Linked DNA regions of Nothobranchius furzeri. The protein of the gene in region 1 interacts with the protein of each later gene in a pairwise test. Links are inferred from orthologs where the notes say so. Each region holds a gene or a part of one and is shown on either strand. Other genes may lie near its edges.

Region 1 (4,342 bases):
ATGTAACTAAAAATAATAATAATATTAAAAAGTGCCAGTTCTCCCTCAGAATCGCATATTTCAAAGGAGGACTGGATCAACACAAATCTAAATTCTGCTCCCAAACCACCTGCATACACTTGACTTCCTCCATCATTATCTCTGTTTCAAATGGTGCCAACGCATAAAACCAGTCCGAGCTGTTCAGCCGTCATCCCAGTGCAGTTTAGAACTGGCCGTGCTCCAACCATCGCGCTGGGCTAAGGGCTAACCTTTGGAAAACACTGAGACCTCCGAGGAATGTGAGCATGGTCAATGAAACGGAGAGGGAGGAAGACGGGAAAAAAGAAAACAAATACGTTGTACAGCCTGTGGGCTCTGTCAAGGCAAACTTCCCAGCTGCTAAATGGGATAGAATGACTAGAGTTTTGGCTGCTAGAGAATTATTTCTGCTTGTTACCAGGACAAAGAGTTTGTGTAAAAATAACCTGTCAGTGGGGAGAGCACAGCAGGATTCCTCCAAGCCCTCCAGGCTATAAATTCTGCAGCTACAGACAGAAAAGAGCAGAGCTGGAGTGGCTTTGGCTGTTGTGTTAGTGAGGACGGGCTGAGCTCAGGTTCAAATACACGTTATGCAAAGAGCAGGTTCACTGAAAAACCTTTTTTTACTTCTTATTTTTAAAAATGATCGGTCACTCTGAGTTTAACACACAGACTGAATGTTGAAAACAGTCTCCTACACTTATGTCCTGCATTTGCTTCTGATAGAAACTACTCGAAAAAAAATGCTTGGTTCAGAAAAGCCTGACAGATCCACGTCAAACTGTCATTTAACATTCATGGACTCGCCTATCTTGGCTCGCAATGGGGAAGGCTGTTGTTAGTTTAGCATCTAGCAAACAGCAGAGTAGAAGCTAACGTTAGCATTAGCAACTCCACCACACAGCAGAACTCCTTCAGGCTTGTATTATTTGTGGGGATAAAAAAATCAGCTTTGGCAGAGCCGCGTTGCTGTCATCCAAATCCCAATAGAGATGTCCAAATCTTAGGAAATAAGACTCCCAATCCTATCGTCTGAAGCGTCTTTCTCCTCCGGCTGACTTCTACGTCCTCAAACAGGCACGCCAGAGCTTTTCCCTCCAGAGAATGACTTACAAGGTGTTCCTTCCTACTAGAGACCCCTGCACATGTATTAAAGTATCAGTAAAGAATTCAACCAACCACAGCTCATGTACGATGCAGCAGGGTTTATGATTACTCTTGAAATGTAAATAAATGAACGTTTTAACAATATATCATGTTTTAACCGTACTGATTTATCAATATGAGACCGCAATAACACAAAAGATTCCAACTAATTGGAAACAAACTGCAATCATATGCTCCCCTGAATGCCCACAGCCATGGACGGTGTTCCAACATGTGGCTTTATGCTGTGGATATCACTGACTGTTACAATAAAAAAAATTGCGGTTGCATGTTTTCCTGAAATCATATAGCTCTGCTTCATTCGATGCATGATCTCTGAAGTCGGTTTAGCATTTTCCTCCTAATCGCACAGTTTTGCTCTCATTTTCTGTGCTTTCAGCCGCCGTGAATGAAATTTTCACACTAAATCTCTCAATAATTTGGTGTGCAATCTTCTGAGGAAGAGCCAAATCCAATCAGACACAAACTGGTGCACAAGTGGAGAATGCTAACCTGGAAAAGGTGAAACAAATCAATAAGGAAAGGGATTGTAGTTGGAGGGCTTTAGCATAGTTTCAGTGTGTCGCTTCTGGTTTGATGCAACAAGAAGTTCATGATGCAAACATTCAACGTGATCCTTTGCTTTGATATCCAGAAATCAGTCAAATAAGTGAAACGTTCCCTTAATAATCGCCCGTTTCACATTTCACGCCTCTAATGTCTCTGACTGTCCTTCCAACTAAAGCCAAGACAACACAACGAAGGACTGTGTGAGGACTTGCAGTTTCTCCATCCCACATCTTTATCCATCCTTCTTATTAACAAGTCTGAACACTTTGCCCTTCCTCCAGCTCCCACATGAAGCAACACGTGTGCCTAGCAGACGTTACGATGATGACAGCTCACTATGTAATGCGACGTATTGATGTTCAGCCAAAACGACTCCAGACGCTGCAGCACAGACACACCCAAGCAGACGCACACTGCTCTATCCCACTTCCTCCTGCCACTGAGATGACACGTTTAGGCTTTCTGAAGGCTCACACACCAATGTTGTGCTCTTAATCCTGCTTAAATACAGGTAAGTGGCTCACATAAGCCAGCAGAGCCCGTTTTCCCACCAAGATGATGTTATTTATATGGTTTTTGGCTCACTGGTTAATTTATTTCTGTATAAGAGACAAGCGTTAAGCAGAGCGACAAAAATAGGTGTGATAATGCAGACATCTGTTGTAATTTTCTGGGACATTTTACTGAAAGGCTAAACCTTTATCCACCACCTGTTTATTCACTTTTACTGATGAAATCATAAAGAAACAGAAAAGTATGTTAAATTTTGGACTCTACTCACCCTTTGCCCTGATACACCACATGCCATCCTTTTATAAAACAATATCCAGTGGCTTATAATCCCAACATTTCTTTAATGCTCAGACTTCATTGATTCTTTCTGAACCTTTATTTTCTGTTAAAGCTTCACTTGGTATTTTAAATGGGCCTGAAACTTTGTACACGCCAATGAATTTGTTCAAATATCAGTTTTAAAGTAGTTTATCTGGGAAAAAAAGTAGAAAAATCCATGAGGGATGTAAATTTATTCTTACCAGGAGAGAGGAAGCACCTTCCCAGCACTCTTTTCTGTCTGCTGAGTCCAGCTCTGATCAGATCTAGGATCAGTCAGGTCCTCCAACAGCGTCTCTGTAAAACTTTCTAAGTTCTGACTGAAGTCAGACCTCTGATGGATGCAGTTTGCCGGCTACTTTTGTCCTACTACTGAGGAAGTTGCTGGTGAGTCACAAGATCCCGCCTCCCCTCTAAAAAACAGACCTCCTCCCCCCTCCCTCCCTCCCTTTCTCTCTTTTAGAGACTTCAAATGAGAGCAGGGAGAAACCCAGACAGGAGGCTGGATTCAAAGCATTTGTCTCAACAAGAGTCAGTTTTTAAATAGTTGAAGAGTTTTAAAGACGTTTTTGTTTACATTAAATTAATAAGTAATGTTGTTAGTGAAAATGGTCGACAACCTCAACCCAGCTGGCCAGGATCAGTAATATTTAATTGAGGCTAACGAACACAGTACATGTTTAATTATGACACTCTGCTCATTATGGATCAACTTTTAAAAAATGGTCCTGAAATTTTAGAAGAAATCAAAATGATCTATAGGTAGCCAAAGCCATGGGTCTCCTGAAAAAAAAAAAAAGAAATGAATGAAGTCAAAAAGTTATTTTCTGGGTCCATTTATCCTCTCGCCCTAAATCACACGCATCGTACATACTTAAAGAGCAAGTCACCCCCAAATCACCCTAAATAAATGAGTGTCTAATCGTGCTGCAGACACGTGTAGTCAATAGATTAACACTTTAGTGCATTTTAGTTAAAATTTTAATTTTCTGCCTAAAACTGTCAGTGTTGTGCTGTTGTCAGGTAAACTCTCTGCACTGCATTTGAATTTAAATCTGCCATCGCTATTGGCTAAGGGGTATCCTAGAACATTAGCTGGTACCATTTGATGTCACAATGTAGTTGTGAGCCTGTGTGTGTGTGTGTGTGTGTGTGTGTGTGTGTGTGTGTGTGTGTGTGTGTGTGTGTGTAGGTGTGTGTGTGTGTGTGTGTGTGTGCGTGCGTGTGTGCGTGTGTTTTAGTGGCTCCGCCCTCTTGGTGTGCTAGGCCACAAAATTTGTTGCATTTTTCAAACAGGAAGTGGGAGTGAAGTAAGAATCTGGTAATGATGTGTGTTTTGACTATGTCATGTAATTTGAGATTTATTAGTTTGTAAATATCCATAATTAAAAAAAACTACAAATCAGAAGTCACATTTATGATGTCACCACAGAATCTCCTCTCCCCTAGCGTAGCTGCTGCTTACATCATCGCAAGATTTATGGTGGTTTTCTACACGTTTAATGTTCCTTCTTTCATCCTGGAAGAAGGATTGGAAGCTCGTTAAACTCACAGCCATTTTTCTTCTCCATGCCTGGTTTGATGACATTTGGTGAGACGAGGAGTTGTAGTCCAGCATGTGTTCACACAACACCTAAAAAAAACCCTAAAATAACTTTTGCCACCTGTTGACAATAAGCTCTTTCTTGGCATCAAAATAGGTCTTTAAAGTTCACAGACATGACACGTTATATCATATCTAACAGGATTAGAAAATTAATTTTATCGGCTCAAA
Region 2 (4,077 bases), on another chromosome or scaffold:
CAACAGTAAGATAACTGAAGCATGCTAAATAATAATATTAAATCGTCGCTAAACATTAACATGTTTGGATAACTTTTTTCAAGAGAAACGCAGGTTAGAAACGTCATCGCTCTAATGTACGCGCTGACAGAGCATACACATCTCGGCACAACACCTGTGCCGTTTCGAACCGAACCCACTGGTTAAAAAGGACCTACGTGTTTTAAACTGAGTGTGGGACCGCACCACTGACCCTTCACCAGACCGCTCCGGACTCCCAACGACAGCTCGTACAGCGCGGCTCGGTTCCGTCCACAGTTTGATTCCCCCGGTTTTCCGGATCCTCCTTCTTCTTCTGCAGAGCACACAGCGCAGAGGTACACTGCCGCCCCCTGCTGGCAGAAAGGCTAAATCAGCTCTTCCGACAGCACGGTTCTCTCCCACTGCCAACTCGTGTAACCTGCTCCCGTCCTGTCAGGAATACCAGATGCCTCCCGACGCCGGAAACAGAATTCCAAAGGGTCACGTTTCATGTTAAGGCTGTGATCAAAGCTACATCTTCTCTAGCATCAGCAGCACCCACCTTGTGATTCCCTCAGAGGACTGAAGAATTTCCTTCTGTTACAAACACTTCAAATCAAACGCAGCTACATAATTTTTCCATTATACGCAAAAGCCAGAGGAGTTACTTTTGATAACATTTATCCATAAGATGTAATGGCGAGGTTAATGACACATACTTTTTACCCATCGGTTGTAGAAACAATGCAAATTCCTTCTTTTCTTGTAGTGAATCATCATCAGGTTCATTCCAGGGAATTCAGAATTAGTCGCTGACTGATGATTTCCTTATGGTCTAGCAGCAAAACTACTCCTGGCCTGAAATGGGAAGTCGTGATTAATAATAACTTACCAGATATTATTTACACACATGCAAAAGTTCCGCCTAGCCCGTTCTGCACCACCTGTCATACCTCAGACCGCTGTCACACCTACTATAAAGTACTTATGAATGAATGAACGAATGAATGAATGATCATAACTGAACACACCACGAACTCGTACATGAAACGGTTAATTCTTTTATTTTGTTTAGAGAAACACTTTATTGAAACACTGAGCTCTGTCGTCACGTCACGGTCATCACGTGACTTCGACCATGTTACAAAAAAGACCTCGGGAGGTTTTTAACCACAGTGTGTGTGTGTGTGTGTGTGTGTGTGTGTGTGTGTGTGTGTGTGTGTGTGTGTGTGTGTGTGTGTGTGTGTGAAGAAAAAGTAAGGGTGTGAGGAACAACCGGATGTGACGTAGAAGCACAGGCGTGACTACCAAACATGGCGTCGCTGTGGTCCTTGCTGCCGTCCCGAACAGGTAATGGCTTCCAGCTCTGTAACGCTCCCGCCGCGGCTGGACCTGACCGTGTCTCGTTGCTTTCAGCCCTGCTGCCGCTTGCCTCGGTGAGGTTCGCGTCTAAGAAGTCTGGAGGCAGCACCAAGAACACCGGAGGGAACAGCCCCGGACGCAGATATGGCTTCAAGAAGCAGGATGGTAATGTTTACCTTCTCAGTGGTCTATGCACGTGACCGCCCTGGGACTGGAGATGGGTCATGTCCGGGTCGGGTCGTACCACGGCTCCCTGACACTCAGCTTGAAGCGGGGTGGCCATATTTCCTATAGAGGACAGGGGATCTGTGCCTATGACGTCACACTATGACAAAACCACACAGACCACGTTAGGACCATTTTTTTCCCCAGGTGAAGAACTAACATTAATATCAGATTCTGCCAATAAAAGGGCTCTAAAACAATTCATGTGTAAATATTTAGCATATTTACTGCAAAATCTCATTTTTCTGCTTTAGTGCTGCAACAAGGTTTTATTAATAATAAATTATTATACCTTTTGTTTTACTACAGCATCGGTAAGCTTCCTGTGCACAGATTATTAAGGATGCTTGTTTCAGCTGTGAGATTAGACGATAGGATCAATGAAAAAATAAGTTGTCACACACTCCATGGAAACTTTCAGAGAATCCACAAATAGTGGCTTTCAAATGGTTTTGTTACTTTTTACAAGTTTAGAAAAGCAGCAGATGAGACAGCGTGTCTGATAATTTACTTTTTCATCTGATAATATTAGAACATGTCAGTAATGTCTGAGGGGCTTTTATAAACACCGTATAACTAACACTACTGGAGAGGGCATGAATTACACAGAGGCTTCTGGGGAGCCCAGTTATGGGGGTGGGGGGTGTTTCGTTTTGCCTTGGCCCCCAAAATGCCTTGAAACGGCCCTGGGTGTGTGACTGAGTTGTGAAGGTGATCTGAATTGTATCAGATGTATAAATATTACATGTGTATAACTTATTGTTTTATACAGGTAAAAATGTGTAGTGCAGATAAATCTACCTACATTTTACTTTCTTGTTCTTATTGAACTATTTCCTGTCCTGTCTGTCTCTCATCTTCCTGCATCTCCTCTAGCCTAGTGAAGTAGACCAAACTCTTGCTTTGCAAAGTTTGCCGGATGCAGCGGGCGCACCAACGATCAGCGCTCTGCGTCTTCTCCACTCAACAGAACCCCGCTGCACTGAGAGTCCATAAATATTGTAATATAGGCAGAAACTGGATCTTTCCCTGGAAGATATCTAGCCCCCATAACTGGATCCCTGCTCCTGCATGAAAAACCGGACATTTTGATCAAAGTAGGAACGCCCCGGACAGAGAATGAAGATTAGACATGTGCGGGGGAAAGAGGACATACGGTCAGCCTAGTTTAAGAGGTTGGACTGGCGCTAAACCACCATGGCTCCCAAGCCCAGCCACAGCTGCAGCTCCCTGCAGGGATGGCTCAGAAACGGAGATGAGTGTCACCAGTGTGTGATGACTGAAAGTTTAAAGAGCAAGTCACCCCCCAAGTCAACTGTTTTTGCTGATAAATTATATAAATGAGTGTCTAGTCGTGCTGTAGACACGTGTAGTCAATATTTTGGCACTTTAGTGCATCTTGGTTAAAGTTTAAATACTCAGCCAAAAACTGTTGCTGTTGCACCGTAATCCGGTAGAAACTCTGCACTGCATTTGAATCTAAATCTGCCTTCGCTATTTGCTAAGAAGCACCCTCTGACGTCAGCTGGTACCATATGATGTCATAATGTTGTTGAGAGCCTGTGTGTGTGCGTGTGTGTGTGTGTGTGTGTGTGTTAGCGGCTCCACCCTCAGTCTGCCAGGCAACAGCATCCGTTGCATTTTTCAAGCAGGAAGCGGAGTTAAGTCTCTGGTAGGGGGTGACTTGGTCTTTAAGTCTCTGGCAGGGGGTGACTTGCTCTTTAAGTCTCTGGTAGGGGGTGACTTGCTCTTAAAGGCAGGTGGGATAGTTCCCCTCTTAGTCCATTCTAAGTATTCCCTCATCCAAAAAAGCAGTTTCACAGAGAACGTCAATTAAAATAAGAGATTATTCATAATAAACGCAGAACGTTAGAACTGGGACAGAAACATGGGGTGACTGGTTCAGGTCCGATGGTGAAACTGGTTAGCAGGTGTTCAGGTTCTTGCCCAGATTGACCTGAACCTCCTGCCCACGGGGAGTGGTTGGAACAGCAGCGATGCAGCCTCAGAGCCGTGGGTGGGAGGGTGCAGGGTCCTGCGTTTCACCTGTTTGTCCCTCGCAGTGGTCCCCACGTACGTGACCCTGGAGGTGAGGATGGACTCGATGATGGACGGGTATATTTTGGAGCCTCATCACAGTTCTGAGTTTCTTTAGCGACCATGCAAACCTGAACACAAATGCCCAGTTCGACCAGTAGGGGGCACTAACGTGACATGAGCATTGAAGTAGAAATCCTGTTTTAAAGGAACAAACTACAGTTTTGGTTGGCTAGAGGCCGTTTTAAGCTTGGTTTATGCTTGACGCATTCACTTTCCGCTTGGTGATGCGGCTCGTGGCAGGAACACGCTTCACAACTCGCAGCGTTTGTGGTTCATGCGGCAACATCTTTGAATTAATATTTTCCCCAGAACTTTATTGAACAAAAGTAAGTTACGTGTAAGAAAAATGCTTTTTACTGGCGCACAGTGTGGTCATCTGGATGCAGTGGA
Region 3 (4,109 bases), on another chromosome or scaffold:
GTCGTCATCCAGGGACTGACCGGGCAAACAGGAAGAGCGGATGAGTTAGGAACCAGGAGGAATGCGAACTAAACATAAAAAAATGCTAAATCAACGAAAACACGCACATCTTCTCTGCACACGGGACCAAACACAATCACGAGTAGCTTCATTACTTTCAAAACTAATAATCCTGAAATGATTTCCAGTTTATTTGCCGAAATATTCAGAAAATCGATTCAGCTTGTTGTAATTTTACAGTTTTCATATCTTCTGGCTTGTCCCTTCAAGGGTCACAACAGCAAATCGTATGTCTCCATCCATCCATCCAATCTCTTCCCATTATAAGGGGTCGGGTCATGGGGGCAGCAGCTTAAGCAGGGAGGCCCAGACTTCCCTCTCCCCAGCCACGTGGACCAGATCCTCCGGGGGAAACCCAAAGTGTTCCCTGGCCAGTCGAAAAACGCAGTCCCTCCAGCGTGTCCTGGGTCTTCCTTTAGGTCTCCACATGGTTGGACGTGCCCAGAAAACCTTACCAAGGAGGCATCCAAGAGCCATCCTAACCAGGTGCTCAAGCCACCTCAACTGGCTCCTCTCTAGCTCTAAGGAAGAACCCGGCCACCCTGGAGAAAACTCATTTCGACCATGGAACGTAGATCGACCAAGAAATCCAGAACTTTGGCTTCTTGCTCTGCTCTTTTGGCCACGACAGACCGGTACAACGCCTACATCACTGCATCGCACCAATCCGCCTGTCGATCTCATGCTCCATCTTTTCCTCACTCATGAACGAGAATCCGAGATACTTGTTCAGTCCCAGACCAGGAGAAGACACACCCCTTTCCGACTCAAGGCCAAGCGGAGCGTGGGAGAACCAGCGCCATGTGACTCCTAATGTTAGGGGAAGCCGCGGCGCAGATGAAGTTGAAGCAGAACAAGAGTCAAGAAGATGGATAAAAAACAACAAGGTTTCCTAACAGGAATAAAACCGTGATGGAGGCTAGAGATCTGTATTTTCAGAAATTGTCTATAATCAATAACGTAGATCTCTACGACCTCAAAGGAACCAGGCAGAGCTCAGACGTTTCATTACTGCCGAAAACATATCACTGAAGTTAAAGGCTTAATTGTTGCATTTTAAAGGATGTACTTGCATTAATATGAATGATTAACATTACATTAGTGGTTATCTCGATAACGTCGACAATAATATCATTTATTGTCAATAACTTGTTGGACAATATTTCGTCCTGCAAAATTTGTTAGAGTCCCGATTCAGAAGACATGAAGACAAAATACCCGGATCCAAACCCGTACCCTTACAGAACACAGGTCCACATCCACTACAGAACCTGGGTTTTGGACCTGGTGCTGACACCAGTCTGGATGATCCTCTTCTTTGGTTCCAGTCCATATGGAGTCCAATTCCTCCAACAAAAACTTGGAAGACCGTTGTAATTCCCATTTTCCCAGTGAGTTTGGTCAATCCCAGATAGTCTAAAGAGGTCACCACCACCTCTGGACTGAGTCAAGATCAGGTTTCTGTTATGTTAAAAAGTAAAAGCTGGTTGCTCCATGGTGTAGAACTGGGGGGGGGCTTGGCCCTAGAGGGCCGCTATCCAGCAGGTTTTAGTTGTTTCTCTGCTTAAACACACCTGGTTTGAATCTGCTGTGATTAACAGGCTGCTGCAGAGCCTGGTGAGCTGCCGCACAGGTTTGTTGATTTTTGTAGATAATAAGGACCTAAATAGGAAAGGTTCAGAGTCTCAGACTGAACAGGAAACCACTTTAGATCTTCTCCATTCCCAGTGAGTCGTGGAGGATGGCTGCTTATACCGAGCCAGGATCCTCTGGAGGTTTCTTCCTGTTAAAAAGGAGTTTTCCTCTCCACTGTAGCTATATGCTTGTTAAGTATGAGGATTGCTGTATAGTCACAGACACTAGTCAGTGACTTGATGCGACCCGCTGGGTTCCTTATATAGGAAACTTTTTTCTGATTGGCTTAATGAACTGACCTGAATTGGAATGTTTATTATGTGAAGTGCCTTGAGACAACTCTTGTCGTGATTTGGCGCTTTATAAATAAACTTGAATTGAAAAGTTTACAAGTACCTGTTAAGACCACCTTTTTACCTAATTTTATCTCATCAGTCAAAGGGTCTAGAATAACCCAGTCCCAACTCTTGCTCTACATTTGCTAAGAGTCTAAATGCAGAACTAAAGATGACTGTAAATGAAGCTAGTGGGGGTTTCCTTTACTGATAATCTAAACTTAAATCACGGTGAAGCAGAAAAGCTGCACGCGACCCTCAGACATCCTGCAGACAGCCCGAGGACCAGTTAGCTTCGGTGCTAACCTGGACATTACATCACATAAAACACATCAGTAGAAAATCTGTCAAATAAAATCATGTCGGGTTAGTGACCGCAGTCTGGCCCTGTACAGCAACACGATACGAATCACACAGCCGGGTTATCTGGGCCGACAGAGGACGGGGAGGCTAGCCGTCCCTCCGGCTCACGTCACCAGGAAAGCGGGCTGCTTCACAGGCCGCAGACCGCATTGAAGTCTGGCAGCCGCATAAACAAAGGCCAGAAGCCTCACGCGGACCAGAACCACAAGAGAACATTCGATACACACAAACCTCCCGGTTCTGGTGGGGTCCAGGCTCACTTACACGGACCAATGCTCACCTGAAATCGAAACATCGATCCTCAGGTTGTCGGGAAAAGGAGAGCATCAGGAGCGAAGCTGCGCGCAAACGACGCAGCGGGGACGGGACGTCTTTCACTTAAGCGCGTGACAGCACAGTGAACGAGCACGTAACTGCGTGGCTGCTGGTGACGTTGAGGCTACGCTGGAAAAACAGGAAGAAGGACAGTAAACACAGAAAACGGAGAGACACGGTAAACAAATATGTTTTTATTGATATGAGCCTGGTTTTGTTTTCTGAATGTTTTTGTTTTCGACCCCTTTCATTATTTATGTTAACTAAATGCATTTAGCGAAACAGGCAGATTAATGAATTGCTGTCAAACATCAGGTGAGTCTGGGAAGCAGAATATTTTAAATCCTTGTTTTATAAATCATGCATAATAATGATATTTCAGCTTTTAGGTAAAAAGTATCACATGACCTCTTGAAAAAGTGTAATTATAAATGTGTTATATAACAAACACTTAAAGTGACAGTGTGTATTTTTCCTGGCGATAGGGGGCGGTAGATACCTAAATCGTTGCAAGCAGTTTTTTTGTGTTGGAGTAAGACCATGCCAACGGATATCCATTAGGGTCAAAAAGCCCTGGGGAGTGTAAACTTTTGCAAAATAAATGGTAAATGGTAAACGGCCTTTATTTGATATAGCACCTTCTAGAGTCCTGGAACCCCCCAAGGCACGTTACAACACAATCAGTCATTCACCCATTCACACACACATTCACACACTGGTGGGGATGAGCTACGATGTAGCCACAGCTGCCCTGGGGCGCACTGACAGAGGCGAGGCTGCCGAGCTCTGGCGCCACCGGTCCCTCCGACCACCACCAGCAGGCAACGTGGGTTAAGTGTCTTGCCCAAGGACACAACGACAGCGACAGACTGAGCGGGGCTCGAACCTGCAACCTTCCGATTACGGGGCGAGCACTTAACTCCTGTGCCACCGTCACCCTCAGACACTCTTTCATCACTGGCAACAAGTGAAGATGTACATGTGTAAAACAACATTTAAGAATGACAAAAGTTTTGTAACCGCTTGTTGCTAATCAGTAAATGAAATTTGTCCTCATGGGCTCCCGTAGAAGGACACATTGCATCAAATAAGCCGTCGCCCAGAGACTTAGACCCACTCCCATGTGTGGCCTGATTTATACTTCTCCGTCTGCATCAATGCGGAGACACGCAGCACCATTATAAGTCGGCGCAAGGGCTCTCCGACAGGCTCACAGAGGGTGACGGAGACAAGCCCAAAATTTTAAACATCCGTCGAAAGTGACGGAGACTGCAAGCCTGTGATTGGTCAGGACGCTGCTTCCTGTATATTTGTCATCAGCACCGCTGTAACTTCGTTAAAAAGTAACCAGATATTTAGCCAATATTTAGCAGCAGACCTCGAACAGATTGAAGAACGCAT

Evidence for each region.
Region 2: the proteins of fhl3a (region 1) and mrpl27 interact in binary tests that used the Homo sapiens proteins (3 or more experiments, as listed by UniProt). The two-hybrid records come from large-scale screens. The link is inferred for Nothobranchius furzeri from reciprocal best matches to the Homo sapiens genes FHL3 and MRPL27.
Region 3: the proteins of fhl3a (region 1) and patl1 interact in binary tests that used the Homo sapiens proteins (3 or more experiments, as listed by UniProt). The two-hybrid records come from large-scale screens. The link is inferred for Nothobranchius furzeri from reciprocal best matches to the Homo sapiens genes FHL3 and PATL1.

The regions. Positions count from the first base shown.
Region 1 is NC_091745.1:70,520,269-70,524,610, reverse strand, and holds the start of fhl3a (four and a half LIM domains protein 3), read right to left. Parts: upstream 2,914-4,342; 5' UTR 2,772-2,913; intron 1-2,771. UniProt on the Homo sapiens protein: Recruited by SOX15 to FOXK1 promoters where it acts as a transcriptional coactivator of FOXK1.
Region 2 is NC_091756.1:2,484,075-2,488,151, reverse strand, and holds the start of mrpl27 (large ribosomal subunit protein bL27m), read left to right. Parts: upstream 1-1,203; 5' UTR 1,204-1,313; coding exon 1,314-1,350; intron 1,351-1,416; coding exon 1,417-1,527; intron 1,528-1,533; exon of another isoform or gene 1,534-4,077.
Region 3 is NC_091746.1:29,999,325-30,003,433, reverse strand, and holds the start of patl1 (protein PAT1 homolog 1), read right to left. Parts: upstream 2,808-4,109; 5' UTR 2,689-2,807; coding exon 2,674-2,688; intron 16-2,673; coding exon 1-15. UniProt on the Homo sapiens protein: RNA-binding protein involved in deadenylation-dependent decapping of mRNAs, leading to the degradation of mRNAs. Acts as a scaffold protein that connects deadenylation and decapping machinery.